2 linked regions of the Drosophila melanogaster genome follow. The protein of the gene in region 1 interacts with the protein of each later gene in a pairwise test. Each region holds a gene or a part of one and is shown on either strand. Other genes may lie near its edges. The genes, in order: Amy-p and Obp47b.

What was found.
Region 2: the proteins of Amy-p (region 1) and Obp47b interact in a two-hybrid assay, tested with the Drosophila melanogaster proteins (one large-scale study listed by BioGRID).

The regions. Positions count from the first base shown.
Region 1 is NT_033778.4:17,118,331-17,122,257, reverse strand, and holds Amy-p (amylase proximal), read left to right. Parts: upstream 1-1,954; 5' UTR 1,955-1,987; coding exon 1,988-3,472; 3' UTR 3,473-3,622; downstream 3,623-3,927.
Region 2 is NT_033778.4:11,301,568-11,305,135, forward strand, and holds Obp47b (Odorant-binding protein 47b), read right to left. Parts: upstream 1,421-3,568; 5' UTR 1,410-1,420; coding exon 1,305-1,409; exon of another isoform or gene 1,238-1,304; coding exon 1,115-1,237; exon of another isoform or gene 1,052-1,114; coding exon 680-1,051; downstream 1-679. Other genes in the region: CG7741 (uncharacterized protein), read left to right, coding at 1,883-1,965, 2,029-2,195, 2,253-2,584, 2,641-2,958, 3,017-3,125, 3,184-3,512.

The sequences.
Region 1 (3,927 bases):
AACATAATTTGTAATTTGAATTTGCTTCGTGTTCGAGCATAAGCAATGAGCTTACCAGAATGTCCTTCGCCGTTGTCCTTTGGGTATAAGGGATTCAGCTCGCGTTTTGATCATTGCGCATATGATTCGTTGGAAAAGTGATTGCTGCTGCTGGTGAAGAGGCTTGTAGGTTTGTCACTACAGGAAATCAGCAGGTGTGATATATTGTTTATAACATTTTGGCATGTGTCCAGCAAACCCTTGACGTTGAATAATAATTAAATTTTCTTATAGTTGTAGCTTTATCTATTATTTGTGTAGCTTGAATGATTTATTGTTCTTTGAATGTGATAAGAGAATGAGATAACGTTTAGAGTGACGATGATAAGGTGAATTCAAACAATCAGTTAAATCAAAACTTTGTTAATTAATTGCAAGTCTTAACATCCAAAAAGTTGATAAGAGTAAATTAATTTATCAGTCTTAGAAAATTGTGGTAATTAATTGTGAGACTTTAGTTTGTAAGCAAGAAAGTTAATTTTCTGTGAACTTTCAGGAGTCTTAGGCTAAATGAAAACAAAATTAACTGGGAAGCGAATTACCCGAGTAACTCCACATTGCAGCGAGATATAAACTGAAATTAAAAAGTATCTTCTACATGGGGAGTTACGTCTTGGGTTGAGTCCGAGGCTTTGGGGTAAGGGATTTCTTCGTCCTTCGACTGATTTATGCGCTTATCACGCAGGCGTCGCCGTTTTTATGTCGCTGTCGTCGCCGTCTGTCGGCCATAAATGTCCTGGCCCGAGTCCTGGTCACAAATTTGCCAGTTTAATGCTCCCCCGGATCTCGACTAGCGCTTTTCAATTTCTCCACACATACCTGCGAAATGGCTTAGGCTCATCCTTCGCCCTTCGTGACAGTTTTTCATTACGCACAAATCCTTCGGGCATACACAGTCACATTAAAAAAGGATGTTGACTAAGAGCCAAAAGTAAAAAGGAACAGGGTGCGATGTAAGCAAACAGCGAATGGAGACTGCCGTCTTAGGAATTTCATAAAAATCGTTGCCGGCTTATCGCAGCTTTAAGATGTCTGCATGTCCTGTGGGTGCTCGCATGTCCTTTGCCCTGCGACACTTTCAAAGTGACATTATGCAACTTTGAGCGGCAGCAACAAGAACTGCAGCTATCTAAATTACCCAGAGACATCCGGCATGGCAGGACGCTCTTATGCGCTCAAGGATCAACAGGAAGCGCCCCAAGGAGTCTGACTAGCTCCATGTGTTGCATTTTGCCATTCTTGTTTTTTTTTTTTTGTTACGTTTCTTTGCTCTGCAAATTTCATTTGGCACTGCGACAGGAAGGAAATGTGAGCATGCAAAGCCGAAAAAGGTCCTGCATAGACACAGATAAGTTGCGCAGCAGTCGCCAATTAATCCGTCGTCCTGGACGTGTTAACATTCCGCCACTTCAGAACCCAGAGATCAAGTGGCCGCCAGTCAAGGCCAGAAGTCACGTATTCCAGAGAACGGCGCAGCCAAAGCTTCAAACCAAAATCGCTTGCTACCTTTATTTTCAACATTTTTAGGCGATATTGCATGATTTCAATGCTTTCAAATACGCTAAAAAATCCAAATAACAATTCACAGTAAACCCGCTCCTAGGAGCGTGAACGTAATAAATAGTCAATAAATTCCCAACTGAAACCGATTTCAAAGGAATGCATTTTCCCGATGAGTTATTGATACAAATATAACGAAAATAAGCCGACTCACTAATCATCAGCGAAAAATTGCGATCTCCAGTCTGCTCGAAATTCTGATTAGACAAACTAATCGCCAGTCAGACCCCATGCGTGAAAAAACCCCTTAGGGAGCGATAAGATCCCATGCAGTCACAAATCACTCCCCGCGAAGCCCTCAGATAAAGTAGCAGTGGGGTCCACTATATAAGGAGCGGCTCTGAGTAGTTCCGACCAGAGTGAAACTGAACTTCCATCTGGAATTACCATGTTTCTGGCCAAGAGCATAGTGTGCCTCGCCCTCCTGGCGGTGGCTAACGCCCAATTCGACACCAACTACGCCTCCGGTCGTAGTGGAATGGTCCACCTCTTCGAGTGGAAGTGGGACGACATCGCTGCCGAGTGTGAGAACTTCCTGGGACCCAATGGCTACGCCGGTGTTCAGGTCTCCCCTGTGAACGAGAACGCCGTCAAGGACAGCCGCCCCTGGTGGGAACGTTACCAACCCATCTCCTACAAGCTGGAGACCCGCTCCGGAAACGAGGAGCAGTTCGCCAGCATGGTCAAGCGCTGCAACGCCGTCGGAGTGCGCACCTACGTGGACGTGGTCTTCAACCACATGGCCGCCGACGGAGGCACCTACGGCACTGGCGGCAGCACCGCCAGCCCCAGCAGCAAGAGCTATCCCGGAGTGCCCTACTCCTCGCTGGACTTCAACCCGACCTGCGCCATCAGCAACTACAACGACGCCAACGAGGTGCGCAACTGCGAGCTGGTCGGTCTGCGCGACCTTAACCAGGGCAACTCCTACGTGCAGGACAAGGTGGTCGAGTTCCTGGACCATCTGATTGATCTCGGCGTGGCCGGATTCCGCGTGGACGCCGCCAAGCACATGTGGCCCGCCGACCTGGCCGTCATCTATGGCCGCCTCAAGAACCTGAACACCGACCACGGCTTCGCCTCGGGATCCAAGGCGTACATCGTCCAGGAGGTCATCGACATGGGCGGCGAGGCCATCAGCAAGTCCGAGTACACCGGACTGGGCGCCATCACCGAGTTCCGCCACTCCGACTCCATCGGCAAGGTCTTCCGCGGCAAGGACCAGCTGCAGTACCTGACCAACTGGGGCACCGCCTGGGGCTTCGCTGCCTCCGACCGCTCCCTGGTATTCGTCGACAACCACGACAATCAGCGCGGACATGGAGCAGGAGGCGCCGACGTTCTGACCTACAAGGTGCCCAAGCAGTACAAGATGGCCTCCGCCTTCATGCTGGCGCACCCCTTCGGCACTCCCCGCGTGATGTCCTCCTTCTCCTTCACGGACACCGATCAGGGCCCGCCCACCACCGACGGCCACAACATCGCCTCGCCCATCTTCAATAGCGACAACTCCTGCAGCGGCGGCTGGGTGTGTGAGCACCGCTGGCGCCAGATCTACAACATGGTGGCCTTCCGAAACACCGTGGGCTTGGACGAGATCCAGAACTGGTGGGACAACGGCAGCAACCAGATCTCCTTCAGCCGAGGCAGCCGCGGCTTCGTGGCCTTCAACAACGACAACTACGACCTGAACAGCTCCCTGCAGACGGGCCTGCCCGCCGGCACCTACTGCGACGTCATTTCCGGCTCCAAGAGCGGCTCCTCCTGCACGGGCAAGACCGTCACCGTCGGATCCGACGGACGGGCTTCCATCTACATTGGCAGCTCCGAGGACGATGGAGTGCTGGCCATTCACGTCAACGCCAAGTTGTAAACAACTGGGGAACATGGCGAACAGCCAGGCAATAAATTGAGATTATTAATTGTACGAAATATATATGATGAGATTATAAACACACAACACTTTTATTCGCAAGGGATGATAAGAATCTAATATATATATTATCTGGGCTTCAAAGCATTGATTTTATTTATTGAGTCAAGAGGGAAATTTATTTTCTTGTTATTCTCTGTCCAGGTCTAAAGTCCCCAGCGGTGAGGCTATCTATTGATTTGGACATTCCAATCGAATACAAAACAGAGATACAGAAATTTGCGAAAAAATTTGATAACAATCGTGGATTTTACGAATTAGACAAATTGATATGTGCTTGCTAATTGATGTGGCATGAAATAAGAAATTTATAAGGACGTTTTCAAGTGCTTCTATTTTAAACATTCATGGATTTTTTTTTAAAGCAGACAGCTTTCAACAGGTTTGATGAGAAT
Region 2 (3,568 bases), 5.8 Mb from region 1:
CTTTTAAAGACTATACCCACGCACACCACAATGTCTTTTTTCTTTAAACAACTGCACCTTCATATAACCGATTTAGGACTGGACGAGCCCCCATGTAAGATTGTTTATTATTATTGTTTATTATTAATTTAATTATTAGTTTAATTCTAAATGCGGTAATTATATAAAGTATTCTTAGTTTGTGACCGAACGACTGCTGCTGAGAACTCGACTGACTGCAACGCTGACTTCCACTCGACTCCACTGCTGCCTTGCGATCGTTCCTTCGATGACTGATTGTCGATAACTTCGATTTCCGACAATCATGTTGCTGCTCAACAGCGCTGCCAACCGGGTTGTTGCCAGCCTTCAGCCTTACTCCATGTTACATAAATGTATATGGTGCGTACTTCTATGATTAACGGAAAGAACAACAATATAAAATAGCATTTTCTTTATATTTTATTTCAAACCTAAACAAAGTGAGATAATCTAAAAAACGGTTAATATTTCGTCACAAGTTTTAATTCAGATCGTTTGTATACTTCAGGTGCGATCGTCACATAGTTACTACCTCGTTAATTAGTTCCAGCGATCCAAAATTAGATGAATATAAAAAGTTAATTTGATTCTTATTTAATGACTACTTTTTATAAACGTATGTACATTGTACAAGCACCATCTCTATCAGGTCGTGATGTTAGGCACCCAAACCGCACTGCGTTACGTAGGCCTTGGCCAGAGTACACTGGGCATTTGGAGTCCACCGATGATCGGGGCAGTTCTTGAAGTACTCCATGTAGGTGCACCCAAGGACGATGGCTGAGAAGGGGCTGCATCTTGGTTGTTGCTGCTGCGTCTTTTGCTGCTGCACCTGTTGTTGCTGCTGCATGATCATGGCCAGTCTGCGCTGCGATTGGGGCTCACACTTGGAGAACGCCATGGTCATGGTTTCCACGTAAAGGGTATCGTTGGAGAACTTAGCGGAGAGATCACTGCGTATGTTTGCCAGGTTTAGTTTCTGGGGCTCATCAATATACTTGGAGGATGTGAGGATGCACTCAGCTAGGCACTAAGTAGATAATGTATTATGTATTGCGACTTCTTAACAATTTCATAGGCTGAGATTACTCACTGCTGCCGTGTCCAAAGATGGAGGACCTCCTGCCTTCTGTCCATTTGCTGTTCCTAAAATCCGTTGGGCGCACTGCTCAGCCACCTGGTCGCGACCCCCATCCTTGCAGCAGAGTGCGGGATCCTAGGAAAGTGTCAAAATATCTTAAGAATCACTTTAAAATTAAAAAAAAACCAAACTCAAAACCCACCACTAGTTGCGGTGGTCTTTGGCAATCAATCGTGGCTTGGCCAAATACTAGACGAGTATTTAGGGCCAGCGAAGCGAAGATCACAAGAAGCTGACTGGGCGACATAGCTGCAATTGAGTGAGTAAAATGACTGATATGAATATGAAATCGCAAGGCCCATTTTATATCCCTCACGCAGCTCCAAATCTAATGGAACGAAAAGAGTAATGGCCACTTAATAGTGCCAGCCACGCATGACCAGAAAAGCCCAGCAAAAGTTCATTGTTGCAATCTGCTGCTGTTTGGGGCCAATGTCATAAATAATGTCATGTTTTGGGCCATTGACATTGCGGTAAGGTTATAGTTCGTTATATAAGCATAGAACGTTCTTCGCTCAATTAAACAGCAATTGCCGAAAAAAAACTGTGGTGCTGGGAATGCTGCTGTAAAATGTGTCATGGTGCTCGAAATGGTCTATAATTGCGAGAATTATGTTCCAATTCGGTAAAAGGAACATGATTTGGCTTTGAGAAATTTAATATTTCTAAAATAATCAATGACCTAATTAGATTTCCATTACGAATTCTGCCGCCCAATTAATGCACCAAGTTGGCAGTACCAACATGATGAAGATTCAATCGATTGCTCAGTTATCGATAACCATGGACGCGGGCACCAAAATGTGAGTAAAAAACATGGTATAAATTATATGATTTAAGGGTTTAATATTGTTTATTTCTCCTAGCCTAGTTGTGGGCGATGTGCGAGGTCGCTTCAAGCAGCTATTTCAGCGCGTGGAGCAGGTCAACAAAAAAGCGGGACCCTTCGAAATCCTTTGCTGCGTCGGTGACTTCTTCGGGGAGGACAAGCAAAACGAGGAACTGATTGCCTACAAAAATGGTTTTAAGCATAGTAAGTTAAGTGTAATATAAGCATTTATTATTCTCTTAACCCTTTCCCTGTACTTAGTCACTGTTCCCACCTATATCCTGGGACCCAACCAAAGGGAGCATGAAAAATACTTTGAAAATCTGACGGACGGTGAAATCTGCACCAATCTTACGTATCTTGGTCGACGTGGGGTCTACACGCTGAGCAGTGGTGTTAAAATTGCCTATCTAAGTGGTTTGGAGGCACAGGGCACTGCAGATTCCGCTGGCTCGGAACACGAGTTCACCAAAGCCGATGTCATCGCTGTGAGGAACTCATGTTTGGTGTCCAAGAACTGCTCCACAGAGTACCGCGGTGTGGATGTGCTCCTAACATCGCAATGGCCCTTTGGTATGCAGGAGAAGGAAAACGTAAATATACATCTAGAGCACTTGTTACTGTGAAACTAACTAATTCCTCTTCTCAGGCCACAGCATCCAAGTTGGTATCATTTCTTTGTCGTGAAATAAAGCCGCGCTATCACTTTTGTGCCATTAATGGAACACACTACGAAAGCGCACCCTTTCGGATGCCCAAAGATGAGACTACCCAGTTTGAACTGTGCACTCGCTTCATTTCCCTTGCGGAAGTGGGAAATGCCGAAAAAGCCAAGTACATCTATGCACTCAGCCTGAAGCCAGTAGACAAATCACGCTTATTGGACCTAGCGCAGAAGACAACAAATGAAATTCCGTGTCCTTTCATTGGCTTGGACTTAGGCGGAGCTATTGGCAAGAATGATTCGGTGGGTAACCTTTACATATCTATAAGTACTCCAAGTGACTAATTATATATTCTTTCAGTCAGAAAACCGACAATACTTCTACGACATGGATGGTGGCAGACGCAAGCGACAAGGCGGTGATAATAACAAAAGAGATAAACGTCCTAGAATACCGCAGATTGAGCAAGGTTTGTCTAGTACTTAATTTTACAAGCTGCATCCTTAATACTATTCCTATATTTGTAGATAAATGCTGGTTCTGTTTATCCTCACCTGATGTGGAGAAGCATCTCATTATCACTGTGGGCGAACATTTTTATCTTGCTCTGGCCAAAGGACCGATTAACAAACACCATGTCATGATATTGTCCACCAAGCATGTGCCCTGCGCTGCTCAACTAAGTCCAGATGATTGGAAGGAGCTCAACAAGTTCAAGGCAGCTTTGCGAAAGTTCTTCAAAACGTTAGGCCAAGTGGTGTGTTTTACTGAACGGCACTATAAATCGGTTCACCTACAAATCAACGCGCTTGCCTTTGAAGAAGGCTATGCCTGGAAGATAAAACATAGTTTTGAGGTATGCTCACGACATTCAACCTTTTATAACATATGATGTATATCCCACAACATTGC